Rattus norvegicus: one gene and its partner. The protein of the gene in region 2 purifies or fractionates together with the protein of the main gene of each other region. This does not show direct contact. Links are inferred from orthologs where the notes say so. Each region holds a gene or a part of one and is shown on either strand. Other genes may lie near its edges. The genes, in order: Stx12 and Vamp5.

What was found.
Region 1: the proteins of Vamp5 (region 2) and Stx12 purify together in Homo sapiens (affinity purification with mass spectrometry; 3 studies listed by BioGRID and IntAct, with this or other methods). This does not show direct contact. The link is inferred for Rattus norvegicus from reciprocal best matches to the Homo sapiens genes VAMP5 and STX12.

Annotation. Positions count from the first base shown.
Region 1 is NC_086023.1:150,369,144-150,385,532, forward strand, and holds the start of Stx12 (syntaxin-12), read right to left. Parts: upstream 7,204-16,389; 5' UTR 7,126-7,203; coding exon 7,008-7,125; intron 1-7,007. UniProt on the Homo sapiens protein: SNARE promoting fusion of transport vesicles with target membranes. Together with SNARE STX6, promotes movement of vesicles from endosomes to the cell membrane, and may therefore function in the endocytic recycling pathway.
Region 2 is NC_086022.1:105,985,363-106,001,796, forward strand, and holds the start of Vamp5 (vesicle-associated membrane protein 5), read right to left. Parts: upstream 7,886-16,434; 5' UTR 7,773-7,885; coding exon 7,770-7,772; intron 1-7,769. Other genes in the region: Vamp8 (vesicle-associated membrane protein 8), read right to left, coding at 15,495-15,638. UniProt on the Homo sapiens protein: May participate in trafficking events that are associated with myogenesis, such as myoblast fusion and/or GLUT4 trafficking.

The DNA of each region.
Region 1 (16,389 bases), on a different chromosome or scaffold from region 2:
CCTTTGCTGAAATCATGTGAACTTACTAGTTAAGGACTTTAGGGAAGTCAGCTTGGGAGTTTGGAGTCATTTGCTTACTAAGCACTAGCATGAATGTAGCCTTCGTTGGCTCTTTCTATATTTCTGAACACCAAGAAGCTACAAGTTTCCATCTAGACTCATCAGACACCCTAAAATCCAATGCAAAAGGATGACAGGTTCTTTTATTTACCTGACACTAAGGCTTGCAGACTGCTTTTTGTAAGCACAGCATGAGGACCTGAGACTAATAACTAGGGACCACTAGCCCACACAGCTTACACCCAAGAGTTGCAACCTTCCCAAAATTAAAGCACAAAACAGAAACATTTACACAAAGATTTATTTTCACTTGAGTGTGCTTAAAATATTAAAATGATACATTTGAAAGATATTTTTATCAAAGTGAATTAAATTTAAAAGGACTTTCTGTCCACTTGATTAATGTGAACACTCCTTTTATTTAATTCTTAAAAATTTTATATGTATGAGTATTTTGCCTCCATGTATGTCTGTGCACCACTTGTGTGCTTAGTACCTGAGGAGACCAGAGGAACACACCAATCTCTTGGAAGTGAAGTCAGGGGTGGTTGTGAGTCACCATCTGAGTTCTGGGAATTGAACCCAGATCCTCTTAACCCCTCAGCCAACTCTTTTTTTTTTTTCCCCGGAGCTGGGGACCGAACCCAGCGCCTTGCGCTCGCTAGGCAAGCGCTCTACCACTGAGCTAAATCCCCAACCCTCAGCCAACTCTTTAAACCTGGACACTCCTTTTCCAAGAATTCTAGCAAATGAAAGTTTTATTTTGGGGGTGAGGAAAATGTGTGGGAGTGTGTGGGCAGTTAACAATCCTAGGGGTCATCCCTCAAGTGTCATACACCTTGGCTTGCCTTTGATTTCCAAGGATTCAATTGTCTCAGTCTGCCTGGCACTTGAAGTACGACATCTGGGTTCTGAAGATCAAACTCAGATCCTCAAATGAGCTATCTCCTCAGTCCACTTTGACTGACATGTTACTGTTAGGGATACAGTTCCAGTGGGAGATGCTTGCCAACCATATATGTGAAGCCCTGGGTTCAATCCCCAGCACATGAAGTAGATCAATACAACATTTTATAATATGATTTTGCACGTGTAGATCATCTGGGGAGTGAGCCAAGGATCTCACACATGCTAGGCATGTGCTCTACCACTGAACTACCTTCCCCACCCGTGGTAAAATACTCTAGATATGGACTGGAGAGGTGGTTCAGTGCTCTTCAGAGGACTCAGGTTCAATTCCCAACACCTACATGACAACTCATGACTGTCTTCAGGGCCATATACATACAGGCAAATGCTCATACACTTGAAATAAATTAAAAATATTTTACATAAAGACAATTGAGTACGTCCTATGAAATGCTACCTAATATTAGAAACTTTACATTTGGTTTAAACTTTACATTTGTCCTCCCATTTAAAAGTGTGTCCTGGCTAAAACTCTTCTTTAAAAAAAAAAAAATGAGGGGTTGGGGATTTAGCTCAGTGGTAGAGCGCTTGCCTAGGAAGTGCAAGGCCCTGGGTCCGGTCCCCAGCTCCGGAAAAAAAAGAAAAAAAAAAAAAGATGAATAATAATAAATCAATTATTGTACACCAGGAATAATTATAACTTGAACACTTCGTATCCACTTTTAACAGATATCAGCAAAATCTAAATACCCACTAACTACAGTCCAAACCTATTTAACCGCATTGAAAGTAGCTTCCATCACACAGATGGGACAAAAATTCTCTTGAGACAATCTAATGCTCTAATTCAATCCACTAAAAACATGTTGTTCTTGCAGAGGACCTGGATTTGGTTCCTAGCACACGTGTCTGCTCACAACCACCTGTAACTCCAGTTCCACCTGACTCCCATCTTCTGACCTATGAGGGTACCAGGCATGCATGCGGAACACATACCTACCCATAGGCACACACTCATAAACAAACATATTTAACGTAGAAAGCATTAGTTGTACTAAAACATAAAACAAGGCTATGTGTGGTGACACATGCCTTTAATTCCAGCACTCAAGAGGCAGAGGCAGGCAAAACTCTATGAGTTCCCAGCCAACCAAGAATACATAGTGAAAACCTGTCTCCAAAACACACACACACACACACACACACACACACACACACACACACACACACACAGACACACACACACACGCGCACACACAAAACAAAAACAAAAAAACAAACCCTATGAATGATTGAATGAATAAATAAATAAGAGAGAAAGAAAGACAGAAAGTAAAGAAAATACGCAGACCTAAATCCTGATCTTCTTGCCTCAGCCTCTTTTTTTTTTTTTTTTCTTTTTTTCGGAGCTGGGGACCGAACCCAGGGCCTTGTGCTTGCTAGGCAAGTGCTCTACCACTGAGCTAACTCCCCAGCCCCCTGACTGTGCCTCTTAAGTGACAGAATCACAGGCATGGAGCAGCGTGACAGCAAGACAGCCTATGCTTGATTCTTGGTTCCAGCACTTCCTAGCTGAGTGATCTAGAGTAAAACGATGACACTCTTCTGTCCTGTTTCCTCACCTAAGAAGTGGGAGTAACAAGGGACACTTCCTTTGGTTGATGTGAGGATGAAATAAGATGATATGGGCTAAGTTTAGAATGCTGTCTGCCACATAAAAGCACTCAGCTAAGGACGGCTATTATTATCAAACTCAAGACCAAGAAGAATGAATGTACTTAGCAACGATAAAAATCAATTAAGTACATACTAAATGCCAACATTCCACTGCTGTGCCAGGCACTGTCCAAAGAGAAGTGTGTCATGCCTAGTCCTTCATCCCACCAAACTAGTACTGCTCTAGGGACAAGGTCAAAAAGCTTGGCTTAATTAAGGAATATAGAATTTAAGTAGGTATTAAACTGTGAGAAAAATTGGCTTGTTATGTTTAATCAAAAAGAACCAAATGACAGAAAACATGTTTTGTGTATTCACTCAGTAGGGGGCAGGTACTGTTTGCCTTTTTAAGACAGGGTCTCACATAGCCAAGCCAGTCTCAAACTTGCTATGTAGCTGAGGCTGGCCTTGAACTCCAGCCTCCTGCCTCCACTTCCCAAGGGTGAGAATTACAGGAACCCGCTTTGTAGCAGGCACTGTCTTAGCATTTCACGCAAATTATCTCAGTTCTCAGAACTCTATGAAATAATTATAACCATAGATGAGGAGACAGCAGGAGAGGTAAAGCAAAATTCACCGAAACATTACAAAACTACCAAGAAGCTGAGGGAAAATCTAAACTCAGTTAACAAACCTCGAAAAGTTCAAAGATCTTAGCTTTTCAGTTAATAATGTAGAGACTGGTATAGGCACATCCCTTTAGTCCCACCACTCTAGAGGCTGAGGCAGGTGGATCTCTATGAGTTCCTGACCAGTCTGGTTTCATAGCCAGGTTCAGGCTAGCCAGAACTACACAGTGAGATCCTGTCTCGAAAAACAAAAAAGCACTCAGGAGGCAGAGTCTGAAGCTAGCCTGGTCTATCTACAGAGCAAGTTCCATGACAGCCAGGGCTACAGAGACACCTTGTCTCAAAACACAAAATAAACCAAGCCAAACAAACAAAATGACAGGGAAACCTCATCCCCTCAAATTAACTGAAAACAATTAGTAAGCTTTCATGTGCCCTGACCCCGGCTACCACTCTGGTGTCTTTTCCTTCTTTACTCCCTGCCTTTCATCCAGCCACGCCTGCCTCCTTGCTACTCTTTGTCCCCTGAAAGTCCTTGCATTTGCCCTCAGCACACACTGCCTTTCTCCACCACTCACAAAGCTCCCTCCATTCTGGTATCTGCTGATTCAGGCATCATCCTACCCAGGCAGTGGTGGTGCAGGTCTTTAATCCCAGCATTTAGGAGGCAGAGGCAAGTGGATCTCTGAGTTTGACGACAGCCTGGTCTACAGAGCAAGTTCCAGGACAGCCAGGGCTACACAGAGAACCCTGTCTTAGAAAAAATAAATCATCTCCTGAGAGAGGCTGTCCTCACCAGGGGATGGTAATTCTCCCTTCCCTCCATGCACTTAGCCTGCTCCATTTCCTTCGCACCACCTGCTATGACTTGATATTATTGGTAAATGCATGCAAACATCCACACGATGTCATGCAGAAGTTCGTTCTCTGCTCCTTACCAGTGAACATCAGTGCTCAAAGAATGGTCGCTGCACCCTGAGTGAAAGAACCCATCATATGCTTGGGACAGAGGTAAACAGCAGAAAAACAAAGATGAATGAACCATGTTTCCTACCTCAAACAGCTAACAATCTAGCAGAGAAGATGAGTATATTACAAAGAAAAAACAAAAAGAAATGAAAAACACACATTCAGCTAGGCAATTCTTTCTTTTTTTTCTTTTTTAAAGATTTTATTTTATGTGAGTACACTGTCTTCAGAAGAGGGCATCGGATCCCATTACAGATGGTTGTGAGCCACCATGTGATTGCTGGGAATTGAACTCAGGACCTCTGGAAGAGCAGTCAGTGCTCTTAACCACTGAGCCATCTCTCCAGCCCCAGCTAGGCAATTCTTTAACTTTTCTCAGCCTGTTTCCTACCTCATAACCTAGGAATATTTGTAATTACTCTACAGGGCTGTTACCGGTTAGGATATTACATGTAAAGCACTTTGCATATGGCCTAGCACACTATGTACTTAAACAGCAGCTAGTAACATTATTAATTATTGACTCTAAGGATCCAATGCCTAATCAGCACTAAATCAGTATCTATCACCAAGAAAACCACTCCTATTCCCCACCATCACCTTTCTTCGTTGTTTTGCTTTAAGACTCACTCTATAGCTCAGGCTGGCTTTGAACCCATGGAAACTGTCTTGCCTTGGTCTCCTGAGAGCCAGGGTTACAGACCTGACTCATCACACCTAGGCTTTGGTTTTAAACCCCTTCTCTGTTCCTCCTTCCTCTTATCCCTTTTTCCTTTTGAAAAGAGACTCAGATGTGGCCCAGGATGGCCTTGAACACACTAGTCAGTCTAGATTTGCCTCTAAGTAATGATAATCCTCCTGCTTCGGCCTCTCAAATGCTATTGTGTGCCAACTATGCCCAGTTTCAACTCTAAATTTTGATTTAAGTGAACACAGACTTGTGATTAAAAGAATCTGTATCAGTTCCTAAGCTTACTATACAACTTAATGCTCAGATATGAAATACCCACAGATAGACATTCAAACTAGGTTAGTGTCAATGAGAAAACTCCAGTCTTGAGAAAACACAATTTTTCTTTCTTTCTCCCTCACACCCCCTTTTTTTTTCTTCTTTCTGGTGGTTCAAAACAAGGTTCCTCTGTATAGCCCTGGCTGTCCTGGAACGCTACCAACAGGCTAGCCTCTGACACTCAGAGATCTGCCTGCCTCTACCTCTCAAGTGCTGGAATGAAAGGTCTGCCCCACCAACACCTTGCACAAAATTCTCTTTAAAATTTTTTTATTATTATTGTATTATGATATGTGGAATATACACACAAATTAATATAAACACACACTCTATGTGCCAGGGAACGAGTATGGATGAGTGTGGAGGTCAGAGGACAGTTCTGTGGAGTCAATTTGCTCCTTCCACGTTATCTGGGTTCTGGGGCTCAAATCAGGTTGTTAGGCCTTCGCAGCAAGCACTTTACCTAAGCCATCTTGCCAGCCCCTTGAATAAGAAATTTCTGATTTAACCTGTATTACAGCTCCAAAATAAAAGGAAACTGGGACACAAAGTACCATACTGTCTGTCTAGTCATCAATAGTATTATTGTGTTTTTAATATCTGGGTTGACAAGCTGACTATCCTTCCTACCTCCAAATCTAACCCTTCCCACCTGAAATCATCTACCTCTCAAATTCTACAGTATACATTTAGATTTAAAAGCAAAGTAACAAGCTGGGTGTGGTGGTGCACATTATTAATTCCAGCACTTGGGAGGCAGGTGGATCTCTCATTTTGAAGCCAGCCTGGTCTACAGGATGAGTTGCAGGGCAGTCAGAGCTATCGAAAAACTGTTTCAAAAATTAAAGTAAAAGCAAAGTGATAGCTTATGTTTTAAAGTTTAGGACATAATTGTAATTTAGAACTGACTCTACCTATTAACAGAGTATAGCTAAGCTCACAAAAAAACACAATGATAAACCCCATAGATGGTTGTCACTATTTTAAAAGTAAAATTGCTTCTGTTGTTCTGTTTACAAGGCTCTGGGCCGATTCTGAGGCTCAAAAAACCACTTTACACTTTAATGGTGAGAAGGGAGTTTTAAGGTAAGCAGTTACAAACTGACTTTGTACCAGGCAGAAAATGAAATCTTCATGTTTTGAAATTTTAAAAACGTCTTTGCTACAAAAGACAACCTAAACTAAAATGTTCCCGGTGCATTCTCCGCCATAAAACAGGAGTCCCTCCCCCCTTAAATACCAGTCATTGACTGATTTCCAGATTAATTACCAGGAAGCACAGTGTGTTAAATCACCCAAAATGCACGCATTCTCCACTTCCCTTAATTGAAAGTTGCTGATGTCCGAGGACCCAACCGCCGAGCAGAATGTGAACCTAAAGTCGCAACCAGTAAGCACCCCCCTGATCCGAACTGAGGAAAACAAGGTGGGTGGGGAGACGGGGACGACTGGAAAAACTCGGCTGACCACTGCGCCATGTCAACCCTGTGCTCACAGTCCTAGAGATGACACACACTCTCTCCCACCCTCTGGCTGTCGGCTCTGTTGACCCCCAGCACCGTCAACTCACAACCCCGAAGACAGGGGTGTGGACCTAAAGGGCCCGAGCCTGACCGACCCGGGAGAAGGCAGCTCGCCGCGCCGGGAGTGGAGGCTCGCGGCTGCCTCAGGTTTGGCCGTAGCTGAGGCCCCGATCCGGCTCCGCGTCTTAGCAGCTTCACCCAGGCCTGTCCCTGAGGCCGCACCCCCGCTCCCGGCTGGGTCCCCTCGCTCACTGGCTTGGCTGATCCGCTGGATGTTGCCACTGCATGTCTGGATGATGCTGTTGAAGTCACGGGGCTGAGGCCCCGACGGCCCGGGATTCCGATACATGTCTAAGGGACCGTAGGACATGACACGGAGCAGAGACCGGGGTCGCGCTTCACGGCGCTCCTACCGGAAGCTGCCACTGACCGGGCCCAGTAGCTGAGAGGAAAACCGGGAAGAGAGAGGGCGGGGAAGGGGCCGTGACTGCGTACACACTGACCCCGCCCATTGCGGTGCGCATGCGCACGCCCCGCCCCATCCCGCAGTGCGCGTGTGCTGCTGGAACTGACGGTAGGTAGTGTCTTGAGAGTTTTCAAACTGCTGGGAGTAAGCGTTCTCGCAAGACTGGACACCTCTAGCTATGCAGCCAACTCAGGACCTGACTTCTTACCCCAGTCTCCTACAGACGGCGTGCCCCGCGCTCAACAACCTGCCTGCCACCAACATGCTCGTCCGCATCCTGCTGCTCGGCGCAGCACTGCTGCTCAGCCACCCTGCAAATTCTCGCTTTTTCAACCCATGGCAAAACAGAGGTGAATGCACGAGCATGGGATTGGACCAGTACAATTCTGTTGTACCCGACAGAATTCGATGGTGAAAACTGTTCAACACCTACATTTCTAACAAGAATGAAGTTACTACCGAAACCAACCGCCAACACGGTGTACTCCGTGCTTACCCACTTCAAGGGATTCTGGAACATTGTCAATATCATTTCCTAACTTTGAGGCCATTCTGGTATACAGGCCATTCTGTGAGTTCCAGGACAGCTAAGGTGACACAGAGAAACCCTGTCTCGAAACACACACACACACACACACACACACACACACACAAAACCAACAAATAAAAAACATTCCCTTCCTGCGGAATTCAGTCATGAGATATATTGCCAGTTAGATCGCATTTGGCTGACAGCCCACCAACTTAAAATGTGCACCACACCGACGAAAACTGGGCTGCCTTCCCCAGCCTCTCCTACTACATCAAAGCCCCTCCTCCTGTGACAGATAACTAACTGCTTGACTCCCGACTCCGACTCTGGATGTGTAAAAGGGAAGAAGAGACTTTCTGATTCAAAAGGTTATGGGAAAAGTTCTAAGAAAAAAATTCATTCCTGATCCCCGAGGCATGAATATGATTTTGCATTCTTCTCCCAGTATTTCAAGACAGACCAGAGACTTACATTCGCCAGAGGATTGGGCCACGGAGTTGCCATAAGCCATGTTTTTGGTGAAACTCCAGATAGACACCATAAACTGCTCCTTTCCTTTTATTTTAATTATTTTTATGCTCAGCGGTGTTTTGCCTATGTGAGGGTGTCAGAAGCCCTGGAATTGGGGTTACAGACAGCTGTGAGCTGCTGTGTGGTTGCTGGGAATTGAGCCTGTGTCCTTTGGAAGAGCAGCCAGTGTTCTTGACTGTTCAACCATCTCTCCAGCCCCAAACTTTGCCTTTTCAAGGATGAAAAATTGAAGTGTCAGGTAATTGATGAAAAGGTATATTCTTTCATCAGAGAGATCAGGGACACTCAGGTGGAGGCAAGCTACCCACATCACACCCCAAACACCTGCAGTTAGCTGCGGGGGGCGAGAGATCTTGGGTCTGACAACTGGTCACATGGTATAAGCTACAATATGAACCAGCCCCACAAATCCCACGGAAGCCTTACTAATCATTTGAGGAGCTCAGGAGAAAAAGAGGCGGCTAAGTTGGAAGCTTTCTGTGGTGACATCGATCCTGTCCTCTCCTGCTGTTAGAAAAGCCTCTTCCAGATGCTGTCTCTGGGGAGACCCTAGTTGAAATCGAGGCACCATTCTCCTTGGAAGGGCTTACATCTAATCTTATCTGTTCTCACTACTAGAAGCCAAGCACGTTTGGGGAAGTAGGTTTTAAGATCACCAATGCTGCCTCAATTCAGTGTCTCAACTTCAGTAACATGAAGGTCCCTTCATTCAATGTTCAGGGCTTCCCCAGACAACCGCCATGATTAGTACAAGTGCTTTGACTCCAGATAAATAGTGACTTAAGTATCAGATCTCTCCAGGTTTGGAACATGCTAGACAGGACAATGAAGTGAAATAGGAGATGCCTTTGGACAAGTTTTCCTACCCATGTTGTATCTCCCCAAAGTCCAGGTCATCATGCAAGAAATTTTGATTTACATTAAATTGTGCCAGATTACCCCAACCGTTACTTCCTTTTCTGCTCTATTCTGAGAACCCAGGCTCAAATATAGGCAAATTAAGCAACCTTGACGTTCAGATCTATAGCCGATTGGTGAGTTTTAAGGGTTTCAAAGTACTTTTATTTCTCCCTCCTCTCTTTTTTTTAAATATTTATTTTTTTATTTATTGTATTATGTGAGTATACTGTTGCTGTCTTCAGACACACCAGAAGGGCACATCGGATCCCATTACAAATGGTTGTGAGCCACCGCGTGGTTGCTGGGAATTGAACTCAGGACCTCTAGAGGAGCAGTCAGTGCTCTTAACCGCTGAACTGTCTCTCCAGCCCCTCTCCCTCCTAATTACTCAATAAAGTAACAATCATATTTTGGGGGCACATACTATGTGTGAATTCTCATTTTAAGTTGCTGGTTTTATAAACACTTTACAGCAAGGAAAGCATCCCCATTTTTATCTTTAAATGTATTTTGTTTGGTTTGAATTTTTGTTTGTTTTTCAAGACAGCGTTTTTCTGTATAACCCTGGCTGTCCTGGAACTTACTTTGTAGACCAAGCTGGCCTCGAACTCAAAGACCTGCGTACCTCTCTGCATCTGCCTCCCAAGTGCTGGGATTAAAAGCAATGGCATCTTGGCTGGACAGTGTGGCACACAGCCTTAATCTCAGCACCTGGAAGGCAGAGGCAGGCAGATCTCTGAATTCAAGACCAACTACACAGTAAGTTCTGGGCCATCAAGGAATACACGGTGAGACCCTGTTTCAAACAAAAACAATGGAGCCAGGAATGGTAGTGCAAGCCTTTAAGGCAGGCAGATCTCAGAGTTCCAGGCCAGCCTGGCCTTCAAAGTAAGTTCCAGAACAGCCAGGGCTACACAAAGAAACTCTGCCTTGAACGCCCCCCCCCAAAAAAAAACCCCAAATGAGGGCCAAGGAGATGGGGTATTAGGTAAGAGCCTTTGTTCTACACAAAGAGCCTGAATTCGAATCCCTGAAGCAGCCAGGTAAAGAGCTGAATGCCATGGCTGGAGAGATAGCTTAGCCGTCAAGAGTGAGATCCTTGCAGATGACCTGAGTTGGTTGATTCCCAGAACCCTTAGGTTGGTTCACGACTGACTGTAACTCTAAGATCTGATGCCCTCTCCTGGCCTCTTCAGGCACTGAGTATACCCATGGCGCATATACATACATGTAGGCAAAAACACTCATGTACATAAAATAAATAAATCTAAAAAAAAAAAAAAAAAAAGGCTGGACATTGTCGCCCAGGCCTGCAAGTAGACATTAAGGAACAGATAGACGTGGGTCCCCAGAGTTCACTACTCAGCCAGCTTAGTCAAAGATCAGTGGGAGAGCCTGTCTCAAGGCATTAATGCGAAGACCAAAAAAAGAAGAAATTCTCCATCTTCTGAGTGTGCACACACAGGGTCATGCACTTGCGTATATATGTGCATGCACCATTCACACACACAGCAACACACACACACACACACACACACACACACACACAAACTAATACCTCCTTATGATTCACAGTTTTATGTTAAAGCCTATGTTTTACTGCACAGATTTAACAGATTAGATTCCCCACATGAGGCCCTAAAATGTATCAGTTTGAATGCATTCGTAAACACTGGGTCACTAATAATACACTGATGTCACATTAAGGACGGAAATCAAACACTTCCCCTTTGTGTCCTTTAGCCAAGAGTGAGCGGCGGAGGCTGAATTCTCTACTTCACTCGCCCTGTGTCTTCCATTGTCCGTCGCAAAGGGCTGCCTGCTGCCCTGTGTCTCCGAACAGCCCAGAAAGCATGGGAGAAGGAATGAGGGACACTTTGTCCAAATGCCACTGCCGTAATTTATGGTGGATTCTCACTTTCTAAGGCTTTCGGCCTCTTTCCTGTTTTCAGCTAAAGATTACCAGCACGCACATGCACTACTCTATGTGAAGGGCATGGGAGGACACGAAACATAGGATTGCACTTACATATTAGCTTGGGCAGTAAATGTGGATTGTGTAGGAAATCCAGGGCAAATAAGGCCGGTTTTTTTTTTTTTTTTTTTATTTTGCAACTTGTATTTTGGTCTCTTATACACTAGGATAGCACTTTGAAGTCTTTTTTAATATTTATTTTTATTTATTTATTTATTTTTAAGATTTATTTATTATAGATGAGTACACTGTAGCTGTCTTCAGACACACCAGAAGAGGACATCAGATCCCATTACAGATGGTTGTGAGCCACCATATGGTTGCTGGGAATTGAACTCAAGACCTCTGGAAGGGCAGTCAGTGCTCCTAACCGCTGAGCCCTGTTATTGTTTATCAAGACAGAGTCTCACTCTGTAGCCCCTGGCTGGCCTGGAACTCACAGAGATCCAGCTGCCTCTGCCTCCCAAATGCTGGTGTGATGACAAATAAATAAAGTTTAAAACCCTCCATTTTCTGTTAGGCGCCCATCTTGGTACTCGCTAGCCATTTATGGATGACTTCAAGTTCTGGAAGATAGTTCCCAATGACTCTGACTCAATAAAGCCACTGTGCTGGCTGGTTTTGTGAGTTAACTTGACACAAGCTAGAGTCATCAGAGAGGAAGGAACCTCCCCTGAGGAAATGTCTCCATGAGATTCAGCCATAAGGCATTTTTCTCAATTAGTGATCAGCGGGGGAGGGCCATCCCTGGGCTGGTGGTTCTGGGTTCTGTAAGAAGGAAGGCTGAGGGGCTGGGGATTTAGCTCAGTGGTAGAGCGCTTGCCTAGGAAGCGCAAGGCCCTGAGTTCGGTCCCCAGCTCCGAAAAAAAGAACCAAAAAAAAAAAAAGAAATCCTAACTAAGACACACACACACACACACACACACACACACACACACACACATACACACACACACACACAGAAATGTAAAGCCACGACCATGTATTTACTTGTTACACTTTTTACAGCAGTTTGACTGTTTTCTGCTTTTTTGTCTTCTTTTAACCTGCTTGTGCAGATATCCAGGTCATCTTGACAACTTAATCTAGGCAGAGCAAAACAGCTCCTGGCTTGCCTGTGCCAATGCTCAAGCTCCTTTTGCTGGTTTCCCTTTAAAAATTCTCTCAGGGCTGGAGAGGTAGTTCATTGGTTAAGAGTATTGACTGCTAGGCTGGAGAGACGGCTCAGTGGTTAGAGCACTGACTGCTCTTCCAGAGTTCTGAGTTCAATCCCCAGCACCTACATGGTGGCTCACAACCATCTATAATGAGATCTGATGCCCTTTTCTGGTGTGTCTGTAGAGAATGACAGTGTACTCACATACATTAAATATAAAATTCTTTTTTTTTTTTTTTCGGGGCTGGGGACCGAACCCAGGACCTTGCGCTTCCTAGGCAAGCGCTTTACCACTGAGCCAAATCCCCAACCCATTTTTTTTTTAATTTCTTAAAAAATAATTCTTCCCTCACCGCCTTCTCACAGCGATCTCAAGTCTGGCTTAGAGGTTGTTGCCCTGCTAGCAATAATTAATAAACCTTTTAGTTGATTGAGTCTATGGTCTTTTCCCAGGAGTGAGGAAAACCAAAACACTGAGGTTCAAGGCATGCTCCTCTACAATAGGCAGCACTGACTGTAACAGTAGCAGTTAGCAACTGTAATACCATAACAGTATTATTAACTTTAGCCGAGAGGCCCAGCAAAGGTTCCAGTCCCTGAGCATGAATTAGATATTTTTATCATAATGTAGTGCCACAGTACAGCATATTACAATAAACTATATTTTTTTCTCTTTTAGTTTCATGTGTGTGTGTGTAGGTGGGTGGGTAGGTGCACATGTGTCTTCCTGTGCGTGGGTACACTTGTGTGCAACTTTAATTTTTGCAAACTTTATTTTTAATGTTGGTTCTTAAATGCTTTAACCTCCGTCCACCAGAGACAGGCAGCTGCAGCTCGATCCACTCACAAACACTTCATGGATACCCCAGCAGTCCAGCTTGGTTGCGTTGGAATATCAAACAGGAATCAGTAGCAATGACATGACCTAGCAGAGACAGCCAAGCCTCAACCTCGGCTCCAGTCAGCAGGAAGGGCCAGGAGGAATGTCAAGAGAAGCTCTCGGCTCTGCCTCTCTCAGGGAAGTGAAGATCGTTGAAGACTTGAGACCCACAAGCGTCACACAGCTAGCTGTACCAGCAAGCCAGGCTCCATCTCCATCACTCTAGGGCTCTGTGGAGTCCTATTTATACTCCTGTATCACGTGTCCTCACATGCCTTACCTCAGCATGGGTCTTGCCTCACAACACGTTATTCCAGTCAGCTAGAGTCCTCGGAGTTCCAACAAATGCATGTAAGGCTGACCAATGCATTGTTGGCAATACGTGTCCTTCATCATGTGTCCTTTCATGTGTTTGCTTTAGCAGAACACTCTCTCTCCTGTGTCTACTTCAGTGAAGCATTCCTTCACGAGTCTGCCTTAGTCTTTCACCTGCGTCCACCTGAGGAAAACGCTCCTTCATGTGTTGGTCCCAGCGAAACACCGTCCAACACAACTGATTCTCCAAAGAGCCCTCAGGTTCCCACATCACTTGTGTATTCCTGGGTGTGAAAGCCCAAAGCTGATGCCAGGAATCACCCTCACTCTCCCTTCTACCTTATTCATTGAGGCAGAGTCTCTCCCTCAAACCCAGAATTTCCTGTGGGGATCCTGTCTCCATTGTCACAGGCTGGAGTATTGGTGGATGAGCATTTCTGAGGATTGAAACTCCACACATCACTCTTGCAAGGCAAGCTGTTTAACCACCGAGCCATCTCCCTAGGGCCCTAAATTGCACTTTAAAAAAAAGATTTATTTATTTATATATATGAATACACTGTCACTGTCTTACTGTCTTCAGGCACACCCCGGAAGAGGGCATCGGATCCCATTACAGATGGTTGTGAGCCACCATGTGGTTGCTGGGAATTGAACTCAGGACCTCTGGAAGAGCAGTCAGTGCTCCTAACCGCTGAGCCATCTCTCCAACCCTGAACTTTTTTTTTTTTTTTAAAAATGGATTTATTTATTATATAGGAGTACACTGTAGCTGTCTTCAGACACACCAGGAGCACGCATCAGATCTTATTACAGATGGTTGTGAGCCACCATGTGGTTGCTGGGAATTGAACTCAGGACCTCTGGAAGAGCAGTCAGTGCTCTTAACCACTGAGCCATTTCTCCAGCCCCCTGAACTTTTTTTTTAACCTGTAAAAAAGCCTTACCTTTTTTTTTAATTTTTGATACTATTTAAACCAAAACTCTGTGAAAGTCATTTTCTCCCAGAAATGAAAAATACGTTAGTGCTTCTTTCTGCATCACCTATGCGTCTCTCACAGAAACACAACTGCCCCTTGCAAATGCTAAATACTCAATATTTATTGTATGAATACATGAGGGATGTGGTTCCAAGCTTAGACCTTGTCTCACAGTGGGATTTAGCAGCTGACATAAGGTCTAGATGTCCCAAGGTCCTCCTGCGAGGTACTCCTCCAAGGGGATACCTACCTACTTGTTCAGAATCACCTCCAGTCTTGTGGAGTCCCAGATCTATGGAGAACATTCTGAACAAGTTTCAGAATAGTGAGGATAAGGGCAGAACCAGAGATCTGCAGAGCACATCAAGTTCCTGACAAGATCCTAGAGCAAGAATCCAGAAAAGGGCTGGAGAGACGGCTCAGTGGTTAACAGCACCCGACTACTCTTCCAGAGGTCCTGAGTTCAATTCCCAGCAACCACATGGTGGCTCACAACCATCTGTAATGAGATCTGATGCCCTCTTCTGGTGTGTCTGAAGACAGCAAGTAAGAGTGTGCTCATATAAATTTAAAAAAAAAATCCAGATAAAACAACTTTCCCGGGGCTGGAGAGATGGCTCAGTGGTTAACAGCACTGGCTGCTCTTCCTGAAGACCCCAGGTTTACTTCCCAGCACCCACGTAGAGGTTTACAATAGTCTATAACTCTAGTTGTAAGGGGATCTGATGCCCTCTTCTGGCCTCCGAGGGGCACCAGGCATACTCATGGTGCACAGATATACACATAGGCAAAATACACACACACACACACACACACACACACACACACACACACACACACACCACACACAGAGCCTGCTGAAGAAGCTTTAGCACAAACAAGGCAGCAAAAGACCGTGACTCTAACCTCATCCCACATAGCATCAGTGACTTTCTGTAGCTCAGCTTAAGGGCTACTTAGAAAGTCTACCTAAGGTCACCATTTCTACATGGCCATGCATGCTTTCCCGTGGTAAGAGAATATGTGCTTTCAGCTGGGCGCGATGCTGCAAGCCCATAGTCTCAACTCTCAGGAAGGGCGGCAGGAAAGGCACAAGTTCAAGTGGGCCTCTGCTAAAGAGTGAATTACAGACCAACTCTTGAAGAGGACCCAGGTTCAATTCCCAGAGTCCGCATGGTGGCTCACAACCATCTCTAACTCTAATTTCAGGGGATCCAAAGCTGAGTTCTGAGAGCACCAGGCCCCACTGGTGGTGCACAGATAGACATGCAGGCAAATACTCACACAAATCATGAAGTTAACTTTAGAACAAACAGGCGTGGTGGAGCATGCCCGCAATCCCAACACTCCTGAGGTAGAGGAGGCAAGAGGAAGGTCAGAAACTCTCCAGGTCATCTTTGGTTATGTGGCAAGGTCACAGTGAGTCTGAGCTGTATAAAACTCTGTCTCAAAGAAAAAAGAATGAGCCAGAAAGATGGCTGGCTCAGTGGTTAAGAGCACTGACTGCCCTTCCTAAAGGTCCTGAGTTCAATTCCCGGCAACCACAGGGTGGTTTACAACCATCTGAAATGGGATCTGATGCCCTCTTCTGGTGTGTCTGAAGACAGCTACAGTGTACTCACATACAGAAAATAAATCTTAAAAACTTTTTTGAAAAAATTCTAAAAAATAAAGAAAAAAGAACTGATATATAAGCTCAGTGGTAAAGCACTTACTTACCTACAAGAGAAAAGAGAATAAATTAACATAGAACTGGGTACTTCTTTATATCATTCTTAAAACAAACAAAACAAAAAAAAAAAAAAAAACCTGACAGGAGCCAAGTGGCAGTGGCAGTCCAATGGTAGTGCCAGTGGCAACTCCACCTTTAGTTCCAGGACTCAGGAGGCCGAGGCAAGC
Region 2 (16,434 bases):
CAGCTATGCCCAGCTTTTAAGATGGATTCTGGACATGTGACCTCATGTTCTCCTGTGTCAGTGACAAGTGCAGAAAACTACTAAGCCATCACCCCAGCAACTTCCTCCTTAACCTCCTCTCTCTCTCTCTCTCTCTCTCTCTCTCTCTCTCTCTCTCTCTGACAAGATCTTGTATAGCCCAGGTTAACCTCCAAAATGACCTTGAACTTCTGATCTTATTACCCAGGACTAGTATTACAGCTACCACACCCCGTTTATGTGGTGCTAGTGATCAAAGCCCAGGGTTCCATTCATGCCTAGGTAAGCATTCTACCTTCTGAACTACATCTCTAGCTCTGGCTTTCTGTTCTGGATGCTACAGCTCCTGTTATCTGATACCAGTATAAGAGTCACATCCAATGGAGAGTGGCTGTGCCTCTAGCAGCAGTCTTTAGCCTTTTCCCTCTGCAGAGAAGCCAGGCCTATTGCCTATTGGGAGCTAAGATGGGCTCCCGGGAACACAGCTACCAGATCCCAGCCCACATTGGCCCTCCTCAACCAGAGGGAAAAGAACCCTGACTATGTATACAGTTTTTTGCTGGCAGTGTAAAAAATAAATTGCTAGGGTAAGTTTTAGGGAAGAGCTGAGCAAACAGAGGGCAAGGGCCGTGCTGCTCTCAGCCAGGGCCTGGCATCTGGCAGACACATGACATTTTCTGAATGAGTCGTCCCTGTTTTCAGGGAGCTGAGGAAAAGAAGCACGTGATACCATCAGAGGAGAATTACAGAGACATAAAGTACCCTAGCCACCCACGAAGTGAACAGATTATAAGGGTCAGAGAATTGAAATCAAAAGGGCAGGAGTTGGGATGGAGCTGAGCCATTCTGCAGAGCCAGGGACACAGCCCACTAGGGAAGGGACAGGGCAGAAGGTGGAGAGGTTGGGTGGGACTAGGGAAAGCAGTGGAAGTCAAGGGTAGAAACTAATTCAGAGGAAGTGATAAAAGCCAACCAAGCCAGGTGAGGCGGCATGCAGCTCTGAGTTCCAGGCCAGCCTGGGTCTCAAAATGCACTAGGTGTGGCAGACACCTGTAATCCCAACATTCCACAGGCAGAGGCCAGAGGGTCAGAGAAAATCAAGTCCATCTTCGGTCTGACCTACAGGAGACCATCTCAAGGTCAGTGGGTCATGAGAGTGCTTGCTGAATATTCATAAGCTCCTGAGTTCAGATCCCAAGAGCCCGTGTAAAAGCCAGTCGTGGCTGCACACCCCAAAACCCCAGCTCCGGGAGAGCAGAGACAGGATCATTGGATCTTACTGGCTGCCATTCTGGCTCTGGGTTTGGTGAGAAACCTAGTCTCAAGGGAATTTGGCAGAGTGATAGAGCAAGGTCACAAACACACACACACACACACACACACACACACAAAAGATACACATGAGTGAACAGAAGTGAGAAGTTCAACCGGAGGCCAGCCAATGGGGAGAAGCCATGCATTGGCAAGGGTATGAGGCGATGCCACAGGGTCAGGAAAGCACCCAGGGTAAAGAGGAAGGGGTGTGGGGGAGAGCAGTATTTCTGAGACCTGCCAGAATCCAGCAGGACTTGGGGGTTTGAGCCAAAGGGAGGTAGAGGGGAGTAGTTTCCAGATATCGGGTGGTAATTACACAGGGAATGTTCTTGTCAGACTGGTACTATCTGTACAGACTATCCCCCTGCAACACATGTGCACCCCACACACAGCCCACGCTAAGGGAATAAACCCAGGCCCACAAAACACGACGTGCAGGGCAGTTGTTCTGACACCGAGCGGCACACCCGACCCTCTAGAGCCCCTTTCTGGATTTTCTGGGCTCGTCTGAAAACACACTCTCAATCCTCTGTGTGGCGCTAGACATGCTCAGTGACAGAGCACTTGCCTAGTGTGTGTGGTTATAGGTTCCACTGCTAACATCACACACACACACACACACACACACACACACACACACACACACACAAAAGGAAAGAAAAGAAAAGAAAAAAGAAAGAAGATACCCTGGGGTTGGGGGTTTAGCTCAGTGGTAGAGCGCTTGCCTAGGAAGCGCAAGGCCCTGGGTTCGGTCCCCAGCTCCGAAAAAAAGAACCAAATAAATAAATAAATAAATAAATAAAATAAAATAACCAAAAAAAAAAAAAAAAAAAAAAAGAAGATACCCTTCTTGTTGCTGAGGCAGGAGGAACGATTTAGACCTTCAATTCCAGCAACATATTGCAACTCAGAAGTCCCAATTCCAGGGAATTCAATATAGAGACCAGCTAGGCTGCTTGAACTCACAGATATCTCCTTGCCTCTGCCGGAGACCATGTCATTAAAATCAAGAAGTAGGGTGTGGTCGTGCTTGCACAGAACCCTGGTACATGGGGAGGGCAGAGCACATGACACGATAGAGGAAGATTCCCAGAGCCCACACGCTCACGCCCATGTGAAAACCGAGTGTGCTGGAGAGGACTTGTAACTTTGATGCTCGAAGCGTTGCTTGGGCCGTGGGAGACAGGAGGACCCCCGAACCTGCAGAAGGATGAGTTCTGGCTTCAGCTAGCAAGACCCTATCCCCCCAAAACAAGGTGTGCTGCCTCAGATTCCGCCTCCGCCACTTTCCAGCAAGTAACGGACACTGAGAATGGGACCTCTCTGACCAGTCACTTCCTCTTTGGTAAAGTTGTGGTGATAACCGTGCTTACCTCATAAACCTCATCATCCTAGCTCAGATTATGTGACACGATATAAACAAAAGCCTTAACAACGCCTCACCTGACTGAATGCTGAATAAATGACATCAGTTAGTACTAATGTAGACCGAATTTTCATCTCCTTTTCTTTATATTAAAGACCTATTTATTTGTTTGTTTATTTAGTTTGCTTTCGAGACAGGGCTTCTTTGTGTAGCCCTGCTTGTCCTGGACATCTCTCTGTAAACCAGGCTGGCCTCAGAGATCTGCCTGCCTCTGCCTCCCCAGCGCTGGAATTAAAGGCGTGCGCCATCACCTCCCAGCTGACTCTTTTTTAAATATGTGAAATTTTTTAGATGTATTTTCTTTACCTGAATGAGTGTTTTCCCTATGCGAGTGTATGTGCACAATGTGTGTGCCTGGAATTACGGATTATTGTGGGCCACCATGTGGGTTCTGGGAATCAAATCCAGGTCTTCTGGGGGAACAGTCATCTCTTCAGTCCTAAGATTTATCTTTAAATAAAAAAAAAAAAAAAGTATAGGGGCTGGAGAGATGGCTCAGTGGTTAGGCGCACTGGCTGCTCTTCCAGAGGACCTTGGTTTCTTTCCCAGCATCCACATGATGGCTCTTCACCATCTGTAACTGCAGTTCCAGGAGAGCTGACAACCTATGCTGGCTCTTCAGGCACCTACCATGGGAATCGCCCAAAATGACTACAGAAGCCTGGATGCAGGGCCTCTGTAGGAACAGCAACTACTTCTAACTAAGCCATCTCTGTAGCCCATGGGTTTTTTCCTTTTTTCTTTTTGAGACAGATCTAAGGTAGTCCTATTCAAGGCTGGCCTTGAACTCACTACATAGCTTAATATAAACTTGAACCCCCCCAAAAAAATAAATAAAAAAAAACCTTGAACCCCCAAACTTCCTGCTCTACCTCCCAAGTGCTGGGAGGACAGATGTACACCATCATATACACTTGGTTCCTCCAACTTCTCTTTTTTTTTTTCTCAAGATTTATTTTTATTTTATGGGAATGGGCATGGCTGTTTTGTCTGTGTGTGTATCTGTGCACCAGCTGCATACAGGATCTGAGGAAGCCAGAAAAAAGGTGTCCAACCCTCTGGAACTGGAGTTTCAGACAGCTGTTTGCTGCCATGTGTGTTCTGGGAATCAAACCTGGGGTCCCTATAAGAGTAGCCAATTTTTTTTAAGATTTATTTTATTATGAGTAATTTGCTTTATGTGAATATGTTTTCCCTGTGCATGTGTATGTGTACAATGTGTGTGCCTGGTGCCCAAGAAAGTCAGGAGAGGCAGTCAGACTTCCTTCCCCCAAATTTACATGTTGAAAAAAAGTCATCTGGGCAGTGATGGTGAAAACCTTTAATCCCAGAGGAGGAGATCTCTGAAGCCAGCCTGGTCTACAGCTAGTAAATTTGCTTGCATGTTGGTATGTGCACCATATGTATGCCTGAGGAAGTCAGAGCACCCAGGGTCCCTTGGAACTGGGGATTGGAGTTAGGGGTGGTTGTGAGCCACCATGTGGGTGCTGGGATTCTGACTCAGGTTCTCTGTAGTAGCATCAAATGCTCTTAACCAGTGAGCCACTGCTTCAGCCAACCCCACCACCCCCTGCTTATGAAGAAGTGTTGGGGACCTTATAAGGATATCGCAGGTGCGGATGTAAGTTCCTCAAGAGAGTCATCTTTTTCTTTCTTATGAGATCCACAACCAGCCAAAGCCTCACTGTTGCACACTTATGCTTTACTTGTTTCTTATTTTCGAGAGGAGCTGTCTGTAGATCTTTGAGAACCAGCCTCTAGCCCAGTGGGTCTCAACCTCCCTATTGCCAAGACCCTTTAATACAGTTCCCCACATTGTGGTGACCCCGAAGCATAAAATTGTTCTTGTTGCTACTTCATAACTCTAATGTTGCTACTGTCATGAATCACAATGTGAATACTTTTGGAGATAGAGGTTTGCCAAAGGGGTGGAGGACCACAGGTTGAGAACCAGTGCTGTAGCCCAGTCTCTGCTGTCTTCATCAGGTGCTACAGGCTCTTGAGATCTTTGTTTATTTGTGTGGTACTGGGATTCGAACCTAGGAATTCCCATACTGCAGCCCTTTCAGAAATTTTAATTCTTTAAAAAGAATCATGAAACAGACTCTCAATAAATTGTACAGTCTGGCCTGGGTCTTGGGGGTCCTCCTGCCTTTGCCCCCAAGGGTTGGGATTATGGGCCTTAAGTGTTGGACAACAGTAACAGCTACCTTTCAGTGGGCACAGGACCTGAGCCAGCACTGAGCTGGCAGTGCATGTGGGTGTCTGGCTAAACCTTCATAATAACCCACTGAAGAAAGTATTATCATTGTCCTTGCATAACAGCCCAGGGGCGTTAAGTTGCCCAGGGTAAGTAGGCAACCTGAGGGTAGAATGGACAGAGATACCAAGGGTCACATGTCTAACCCCTGTGCTAAACCAGACGCACAGAAAGCGTGAGGTCTGATGCCCCTGATGATTGGCTAAGGAGTACTAGCCCCTTGATGCTGCCAACTAAGCTTGTGTTCAAAGGAGAGAGGCCTGGGACTAAATGCACAAGTTCTGCCAGACGAATGACTCCAAGAACCATTTTAGGCTGAGTGTAGTCATGGACCTATTTAATCCCAGTACTCAGTAGGTAGAGTTCGAGGCCAGTCAGGTCTATAGAGTATCTAGCGGGACCTTGTCTAAAAAAATATTATTCTATTTCTGAACATGGTGTCAAATACTAGCACCTGGAAGGCAGAGGCAGGAGCATTGCTGCAACTTCAAGGCAGGTTATACAGCAAGACTACCTCAAAAAAAAAAAAAAGTTAATTCCATTCAGACATGGCGGCTCAGCTACATAGCGAGTTCCACATCAATCTGATCTACATGAGACCATGTCCCCCCAAAAGCAAACAAGCAAGCTAAATACTTTTTAGTTATTTACGGTGGGGCTAGAGAGATGGCTTAGCATTTAAGAGCACTTGCTGCTTTTCTTTTCTTTTTTTTTTTTTTTAAGATTTTATTTTATTGTATGAGTACACTGTAGCTGCCTTCAGACACACCAGAAGAGGGCATCAGATCTCATTACAGATGGTTGTGAGCCACCATGTGGTTGCTGGGATTTGAACTCAGGACCTCAGGAAGAGCAGTCGGTGCTCTTAACCACTGAGCCATCTCTCCAGCCCCACTTGCTGCTTTTCTAGAAGATCTTGGTTCCTAGCACCCACTTGGTAGCTCACAGCCACCCGAAATTCCAGTAGGAGGTGACCCAACACCCTCTTCTGGCCTCCACAGGCACTGCCGGCACAGGACACACACACGGACATGCAGGGAAAACACATTCATACACATGAATAAAATCTTTTAAAGCTTTTGGGGACCAGAGTCTGAATCCCTAGCAGCCACATGAAAGCCAGGCAGTCTGCTTGTAAGCCTGGGGCTCAGGGGCAGAAATGGGGGGGGGCTGATCCCGGGGACAAGTCAGCTAGTTAGACTAGACAAACTGGTGAGCTCCAGGTTGAACCAGAAACCATCTCCAAAAATAAAGTGGAGAACAGCTAAATAAGACACCTGACAGCAACCTCTGACTTCCATACATACCTACACATGTATGTGCCTACACATACCTAAACACATGTGTGCCCATACATACCTAAACACATATGTGCCCATACATGTGAACAAGCATGCCCACAGTATTTGCAAAAAAAGATGATTGCTGATTTCCATCCCCCCGTCACTGCTTTGTCCTACTCCAGGGGCACAAAAAAAAAAAAAAAAAAAAAACCCTGGATATTAATTTTAAAAAGTCCTTTTGACTGAATGAGTCCCAGGGAAGAGAAGGGAAGGGAAGGGAAGGGAAATTGGGGGTGGGGGTGGGTATAGATGGTAGTCAGAGGGGTGGGATGACGGAAGAAAGAGCTGGAGACAGAAAAGGGGACGGGGGTGGGGAGAAAAGATAGATGATAGAGCCGGAGACAGGCTGAAGGAATAAAGCATGCACCCCCCAGGCTCTGAACCCCCTTTGCCTGGAGTGTACCTATAGACATCCCAAGGGTCTCCTGAACAGCCAGATAAACGTAACCTGGCTCAGCCTTCTTTCCAGAACTTCTCCCCTAGAGCTTAAAGCCAGCTGATGGACCATCCCGTACCTCCTCCCATCTTGCCCGGCACTCTCGGAAGTGGGCTCTCAGCTCCAGCCATTCTCAGAGCTTCCCTCAGTTTCCTGGTGTGGCCTCAAAGCTCAGGGCTACCTTCCTGCCACACTTCCCTTTCCTGCCTCCAGTTCCCCAGAGATGAGGCCATCCAGGCATTGCCACCTCTAGCCAGGTCACATCCATTCAGTACTAAACTTGCTCCCAGTCTGGCGTCTTCCCAGGCGCCCTGGAAGGTGGGATCCAGGCACCAGTGGTCCCTGACACTTTTGGAAATGACAAGTCTGCAGCAAGAGTGTAGGTGACTCAACTCATGATTATGTTACTAGGCAGAGGTCAGGAAGAAGTCAGCCTGTGTCCCTCTAATAACTTCATGGAACTTTTATAGTAAACAACTTATTTTTTCTTTCCCCGGGGCAAGTGTTTATCCTTCAGCACCGGGCCTCTACCAGGCATGTGCTCAGGTTTCCAACCCTTGGGCCAGTTCTGGCTCCTCTTAGCCTGGGGAATTGCTGGAGAGGTCATCACATTACCTACCACTTCTCAGCAAAGGGTTCTGAGTGCCTGGCAGCAGCGACCATAAACATCTACTTTAACCTCTCAAGGACCCACCAAGGTAGGTATTGCTGCCCCTACTTCACTGCGCGGAAAAGGAGACTGGTGGAGGTTAAGTGACTTGCCCGGTATTGTCGGAGCTGATAACTGCTTCAGGAGCGTGAGAAGCTGCAGCTCCGCTCACTCCGCCCCGACGGGGCGCACTCTGGAGTCTCCCTCCCAGGCTGCCTGCAAAGTTGGGGACTGATTCTTGTGGTCAGCGTGACCCACGCCCCTGGAGTTCGGCTCTGGCTTTATGCCCCTGCACAATCGCCCTCTGCCCCTTCCCATCTCACCATCGCCTCCGCAGCTGCCGCCGCTGCCTGATCGCGGGCTCCGGCTCCTCTGCCTCGCGCTGCCTCAGTGCCCGCGGCCGCAGAGGAAGCGGCGGGGCGGGGCGGACCGGCGGTCCAAGAGGGAGGGGGGCGCGCCTTCTCAGAGGTGCCGGGCCCGGACAAACCGAAAGTAGTGACAGGGCCGGTGGGGCGCCTCCTACCGGGTCACCGGCGTCCGACTTCCGATGACACCCCAGCCCGGTTGGGGAACGATGTCTCTTGGATCTGGAGGGCTGCAACAGGAGTTCCGTCATTCCATCATGTGGAAAGCATTCGTGAGTGCTTGAGTGCTAAGTGCAGGAGATGACATGAACAAGCCAGGAGGAGTGTTTGCCACCTTGGTGAGTGCTGCTCACCCGAAATTAAAAGCACACCAACCACCCCAAAGTTCTGATTGTTTTCAGACAGAGCAGGTAGTACATTCTATGTCACCGAGTTATACACTTAAAAATGATAAGCTAGGGGCCAATGAGATGACTTAAGTCACGTGATGTCAAACCTAATGATTATAGAGTTCCGTCCCTAGGACTAACAGTGTGGAAAGAACCAACTCCTCAATTTGTCCTCTGATCTCCATACATTAGGGGATGGAGATTTTTTTCAGCGCTAAAATTGCTGCCGGCGTTTCTGTGAGCTAAAAGTCTCAATGGTGTGTGGATGGACAAGCCATTAAAGCTGTTGGGATGGACTCCAGCCCCAAATAAAAGGTGACAGCAGCAGCCAGGCCAAGCTTTGAACCAATCGAGGCAGAAGAGGCAAAGGAGGAGATTTGAGCCAGCTTCCAAAGTGGTACCCAAGCAGAGACCATTCCTTCTGTACGAGAATAAAATACAGACAACTACACAGGTGTCCCGAAGAGTTCCACAGTGAGTTTGGGAGAGAGTTGGAGAGCAAGCTGCTACAAGGGAAACAAACAGAGGTTGTCCAGCCTGAGAACACATACTTTCTCTTAGATTTCTGATGCCAGCCTTACTGGATGGTCCTCTAACATTCGAGGAAGATGGAGTTTTTGAATAAGAGATGCTGAGGATACTGCAGCTTTCCTTGCAGAACTGGGAACTGAGAAGTCCTTCCCTTAATCTCACTGGCCCATCCCAGCCTCCAGACAACTTCAAGGTTAAAATGAGGTTGTTTTTAAAGAATTGTGCAGAAGGTGCAATCAGAAAGTCTAAAGATCTATAAAGGATACACGGTGCTCTGAATCTCACAAAATGCTCACAGAGGGATATATTATACGATACTGTTTTATGTGCTTAATCAAAGACGAAAATGTGAGACTGCAGAAATGGCTCAGCAGTTAAGAGCCCTGGATGCTCCCCCAGAGGTCTGAGATTTAATTGCCAGCCCCCCCCCCCCATGTCAGCTCATTACAGCCTGTAACCCTAGCTCCAAGGGATCCGATGCCATGTTCTGGCCTCTGAGGACACCTGTCACACATGTGGTGCGCAGTCACACATGCAGGGGAAACACCTTTACACATAAAATAAGAGCAATTTAAAGAACAAGTAATTAAGACTGAAGTTTTTTTTTTTTTTTGGTTCTTTTTTTCGGAGCTGGGGACCGAACCCAGGGCCTTGCGCTTCCTAGGCAAGCGCTCTACCACTGAGCTAAATCCTCAACCCCAAGACTGAAGTTTTAAGAGAAAAATTAAATTGTAAGTGTATGCTGGGGATGTGCTTGCCTATTTTGTACCAAGCTCTAGTTTTGCTCTCCAGCATCATATAAATGAGACTGGGTGGGAGATGCCTGAAATCCCAGCACTGGAGAGCCATCAAAAGTTCAATCACGACCTGCTATAATGAATGATGAATGTGAGAGTTTACACATGACAGCCTGCCTCAGAAAACAAAATAAAACAACAAAACAGAAAAGTGAGTTGGCACTGTACTGTAGCTTATGGTTGTGATCCTAACACTTAAGTAGAGGAGAACTGACTGAGTTTGAGACCAGCCTGGGCTACATAGTAAACTCCAGGACAGAGTAAGCTAGGCTACAAAGCTACAAAGTAAGACTTTGTCTCAAAACGCCCCCATCCCTGCTGCATGAATTTCACTCCAATGGAAAATGAAAGCAGCCTCTTACTGGAAGTGCTGGCTCTGGCTTTTCTCTGTTCTCAACTCTTCACTAGAAGCTTGTAGGCTTTTTCCTGTGCTGTGGAAGCTGGTGCACTTCTAGCATCGTGTAGCCTTCCTGAGCTGCTGTAGAGAAATAGCCAAAGCCATTTTCCACCTCCCCAGCCTTGACATCCTAAATGTGGCCTCTCTTAACCAAAATGCCAGGGACTTACTTTCCTGGGTTGAGCCACTGTGAGGATAGACCACTGGTTTCCATACTTGGACACATTACCTCAGAATGGGCAGAGGATAAAGAGGGTAGGGCCCACTCATATCAAAGCAGACCGAGGGGTTGGGGATTTAGCTCAGTGGTAGAGTGCTTGCCTAGCAAGCGCAAGGCCCTGGGTTCGGTCCCCAGCTCCGGGAAAAAAAAAAAAAAAAGCAGACCAAGAGGGACTGTTTGGTACTTTCCCTGCCCTCTGTGGAGTCAGGAGCATGATTACAAAGTCTGGCCTCTATAGAGTCCTGAATTCTTCTCTTAACCCATCCCTTTTCTCACATTCTCCCAACAACAGGTTGTTTCTAATTCTGGAAAGGTTGTGTAGAACCAAGAACCACACCCCACACCCCTATACACACACACACACACACACACACACACACACACACACACACACACACCAAGGCAGACTGGGCCCTGGAAAGAACAGTAGTAATAAAGAACCTGGCGGGAAGGAGGAGTCCAGAAGACAGAAAGCTCATTGTGCTATAGGCCTGGTCCTGTGACACTGACTGTGACTAGCCATGAGACTCTGGGGGAGAGATGCTCACCCCCACTCTCTCAGAACAACTGAGATCCAGGGCTCTAAAAGACCCAGAAGAACAAGAGTAGACAAAAGACAAACAGAACACACAGAACAACCAGCAACTGATAAGCTGACTAGTGCCTTCAGCCTCTGGCTCTGAGTTAGACCTAGGTCATAGACTACACATGGTGGACTGGGTTAGACCTAGGTCATAGACTACACATGGTGGACTGGGTTATACCTAGGTCATAGACTACACATGGTGGACTGGGTTATACCTAGGTCATAGACTAGACATGGTGGACTGAGTTATACCTAGGTCATAGACTAGACATGGTGGACTGAGTTATACCTAGGTCATAGACTAGACATGGTGGACTGGGTTATACCTAGGTCATAGACTACACATGGTGGACTGAGTTATACCTAGGTCATAGACTAGACATGGTGGACTGGGTTATACCTAGGTCATAGACTAGACATGGTGGACTGGGTTATACCTAGGTCATAGACTAGACATGGTGGACTGAGTTATACCTAGGTCATAGACTAGACATGGTGGACTGGGTTATACCTAGGTCATAGACTAGACATGGTGGACTGGGTTATACCTAGGTCATAGACTAGACATGGTGGACTGAGTTATACCTAGGTCATAGACTAGACATGGTGGACTGAGTTATACCTAGGTCATAGATGAGACATGGCGGACTGAGTTATACCTAGGTCATAGACTAGACATGGCGGACTGGGTTATACCTAGGTCATAGACTAGACATGGTGGACTGAGTTATACCTAGGTCATAGACTAGACATGGTGGACTGGGTTATACCTAGGTCATAGACTACACATGGTGGACTGAGTTATACCTAGGTCATAGACTAGACATGGTGGACTGGGTTATACCTAGGTCATAGACTAGACATGGTGGACTGGGTTATACCTAGGTCATAGACTAGACATGGTGGACTGAGTTATACCTAGGTCATAGACTAGACATGGTGGACTGAGTTATACCTAGGTCATAGATGAGACATGGCGGACTGAGTTATACCTAGGTCATAGACTAGACATGGCGGACTGGGTTATACCTAGGTCATAGACTAGACATGGTGGACTGAGTTATACCTAGGTCATAGACTAGACATGGTGGACTGGGTTATACCTAGGTCATAGACTAGACATGGTGGACTGAGTTATACCTAGGTCATAGACTAGACATGGTGGACTGGGTTATACCTAGGTCATAGACTAGACATGGTGGACTGGGTTATACCTAGGTCATAGACTAGACATGGTGGACTGAGTTATACCTAGGTCATAGACTAGACATGGTGGACTGAGTTATACCTAGGTCATAGATGAGACATGGCGGACTGAGTTATACCTAGGTCATAGACTAGACATGGCGGACTGGGTTATACCTAGGTCATAGACTAGACATGGTGGACTGAGTTATACCTAGGTCATAGACTAGACATGGCGGACTGGGTTATACCTAGGTCATAGACTAGACATGGTGGACTGAGTTATACCTAGGTCATAGACTAGACATGGTGGACTGGGTTATACCTAGGTCATAGACTACACATGGTGGACTGGGTTATACCTAGGTCATAGACTAGACATGGTGGACTGGGTTATACCTAGGTCATAGACTAGACATGGTGGACTGGGTTATACCTAGGTCATAGACTAGACATGGTGGACTGAGTTATACCTAGGTCATAGACTAGACATGGTGGACTGAGTTATACCTAGGTCATAGATGAGACATGGCGGACTGAGTTATACCTAGGTCATAGACTAGACATGGCGGACTGGGTTATACCTAGGTCATAGACTAGACATGGTGGACTGAGTTATACCTAGGTCATAGACTAGACATGGTGGACTGGGTTATACCTAGGTCATAGACTAGACATGGTAGACTGAGTTATACCTAGGTCATAGACTAGACATGGTGGACTGAGTTATACCTAGGTCATAGACTACACATGGTGGACTGAGTTATACCTAGGTCATAGACTACACATGGTGGACTGGGTTATACCTAGGTCATAGACTACACATGGTGGACTGGGTTATACCTAGGTCATAGACTACACATGGTGGACTGAGTTATACCTAGGTCATAGATGAGACATGGTGGACTGGGTTATACCTAGGTCATAGACTAGACATGGTGGACTGAGTTATACCTAGGTCATAGACTAGACATGGTGGACTGAGTTATACCTAGGTCATAGACTAGACATGGCAGAAGTGACGAGAGGCCTTGGACCAGGTCTTAAATGGCCTATCATCGTATCTTTGTGAGCATGTCCAGGAGAATATTTAAGGGACCTGACAGGATCAAAGGAGGACACTGAATCCTGCATCCTACTTCCAAGTGTTATGGAGTTTCAATTCTCTTTATGGTAAGATCTCTGGGAAATCCTTGTTCTAGTGAAATGTGACAATGAACAGTGTGGTATGAAGAAAAACAGGAGGGCTCCGGAAAGGACTCAGTAGGGAAAGTGCTTGCTATGCAAGCATAGGGCTTGAGTTCAAAGCCCCAGTACCCAGGTAAAAGTTGGACGCATGTTTCTGTAATCAGCACTGTGGAGACAGGGGTTCCTGGAGCTCATTGGAAGCCAAACTGATGAGTTCCAGGCTTAGTGAGTGACCCTGCCTCAAAAAGTAGAGTGAGGGCTGGGCTAGAGCTGTAACTCAGAACAGACCGCTCTCTCACTCTGTAGGTTCAACAGTCAGGAAGAAAAAGACAGAGTCCACTAGGTAGTAAAACAGAGAGCAATAAAGACATCCAACGTTGACCTCTGGCCTCTGCACACATGCACACATAGGGACACAGGCACCAGCATTTGCCTACACAGATGTACATATACACATCTATACAAGAGGGAGGGGGAGAGATGGAAAGATGGCTCTTTGGTTAAGAGTGCAACAACATGGCTGCAGAAACAAGACCTGAACAAGGACATCGCCAGGCATGTTAGCACAGATGAGGAGGAGAAATCATTCTCCACAGATGAGATTCTTAACTGGCTATCAATACCAAGTGGTCAGCTCTGTAAGCACTTACATACAAGCAACACCAAACACAAAATCTGCAGGTGTGTGTGTGTGTGTGTGTGTGTGTGTGTGTGTGTGTAAAACAATAACAGTGAAAGAAAAAGAAGCCATGAATTTGAGAGGGAGCGAAGGGTGATGGGTTGAAGGGTGTTGGGAGAAGAAAGGAAAAGGGCAACACAGTATAATTATATTTTAATTAATAATAAACAAATTTAAACTTATACCTAAGGGGAAGGGGGAAGAGTGCCGTTCTTGCAGAGGACCCAGGTTTGGTTCCAAGTACCCAAGCCATGGCAGACTGGGTTATACCTAGGTCATAGACTAGACATGGTGGACTGAGTTATACCTAGGTCATAGACTAGACATGGTGGACTGGGTTATACCTAGGTCATAGACTAGACATGGTAGACTGGACTTGTAACTCCAGGGGTGTGGGATGATGTCACAGGTGAGACAGGCTTTGTATGTTTAAGTGGGCAATTATATCTTATGAATTGGATCTAAGATTACTGTGTTGTGTGTTCTTTTATGTGATGGTTTGAGTGTAGGAAAGTGTGTAGCGGCTGGAGACACTGGGCCGCCGAGGCGGAGTTGGGATGTGTTTCCACCAAGATATCTACCAGATATCTTGGGGCACCGTGGTGCAGTACCTAGCGAGGTAAAAGACAACCAGTACTTTTTTTATTTTTTATATTTTTACAACAACATAGGGGAACCAACATCGTCCTCTGGCCTCTGTAAGCTGTTCATTCACATACTCATACTATTTTAAAAAAAAAACAACAACCTTTTTATTTATTTATTTTTAAATGTATATGAGTACACTGTAGCAGTCTTCAGACCCACCAGAAGAGGGCATCAGATCCCATTACAGATGGTTGTGAGCCACCATGTGGTTGCTGGGAATTGAACTCCTCTGGAAGAGCAGTCAGTGCTCTCAACCTCTGAGCCATCTCTCCAACCCCATAGTTATTCTTTTTTAAAAAATAAAAATCGGGCTGGAGAGATGGCTCAGCGGTTAAGAGCACCCAACTACTCTTCCAGAGGTCCTGAGTTCAATTCCCAGCAACCACATGGTGGCTCACAACCATCTGTAAAGAGATCCAATGCCCTCTTCTGGTGTATCTGAAGACAGCTACAGTGTACTTATATATAATAAATAAATAAATCTTAAAAAAATAAAAAATAAAATAAAAATCCTTTGATAGACAGGCAAGCAGGCAAACAGACAGCCAGACAGACAGACAGAATGAACTACTGATTCTAGCTGGGTATATTGATTGCCATCTGTAATCCAGGTGTGCAAAGCCTCTGAGCCGCCGCCATCTTTCTCCTATAAACCTGTGTTCTCTATTTTTGCACTGTCTTGGTTCTAGATTGGGAGAAACCAGTGCAGAGGGGATCCTCAGGAAGAGAGAAACAGAAAGGCAGAGCTCGAAAGACACAGGAGGAAAGTGCCTCACACACTTAAGGATACCAAGAGGTCTTTATTGCCCACCAACCACCAGCAGTTTCCCAGCCACAAACAGGGTCCTCTGGGTCTCTCTAACCCACTCTCAGGACCATGAGGTGCAGCCACAGTCCAGCTGTCTCCTCCCAGGGGATCAAGGAACTTCTGGGGCATATGAGGCAGCAGAAGGCCCTCACAGGGACCGAGCAGCACTCCTGGGGAGGAGGGCAGGAGAGGGCCCCTCTTGGCACACTTTTGGGAGGATCACCCCTGAAGAGTAGGGTGAGGTGAGAGGGGCTCTTAAGTGGGGATGGTGCCCGTAGCAAAGAGTATGATGAGGATGAGAATGATAAGGACAATCACACAGATGATGACAATCATCTTCACATTCTTCCACCAGAACTTCCGGGCCACCTTCTGGGACGTCGTCTTGAAGTGTTCAGACTGTTGGGGATAAGATAAAGTAGTGACCCAGTGGCTCCCGCCCTCAGAATAAGTGTACAGATGGACACCCGCATGCCATAGGTTACATTATAAATCAGAGTGAGACAGGGGAAGATGCTGGAGCTGGAGAAGAGCCACTTCAAATAAATAGATACAAAATAAATAGTTGTGTAAACAATTCTTTCGTCTGACAGTAGGAATGGAAAGGTTCAATTCTTTCCTCTGACAATAGGAATGGAAAGGTTCCTAAAAATATCCTGTAACATTTATTTGTGCCTCTGTGTGTTGCCTCATGTGCCACACTGCCCTTGTGGTGGAGAGGGGTGGACTTGCAGAAGCTGGTTCTCTTTCTACTCTGTGGGTCCTAGGGATTGAACTCAATGTAACCAGGTTTGCTGACAAAAGTCTTTACGCCCTGAAGTAGGTCTCTGCCTTTTTGTTTGTTTCACTCTTGAGACAGAATCTCACTGTGTATCCCTGGCCAGACTGGGACTTCAGAGATCTGTATATCTCTGGCTGCTTGACAAATGCCTTTCCACAACAATCTGTACGCCAAGTTCTGCTTTGGAATTCTTGAACTCATAAGGCTTCCCTCTGAGCATGGCAGGGTCCCTTCCTTTTCTTCCTCTTTCTAGTCAGGATCTCATATAGCAAGACTGGCCTCCACTCCTTGTGGAAAAGGATGACCTTGAAGGTTTTTTTTTTTTTTTTGGTTCTTTTTTTCGGAGCTGGGGACCGAACCCAGGGCCTTGCGCTTCCTAGGCAAGCGCTCTACCACTGAGCTAAATCCCCAACC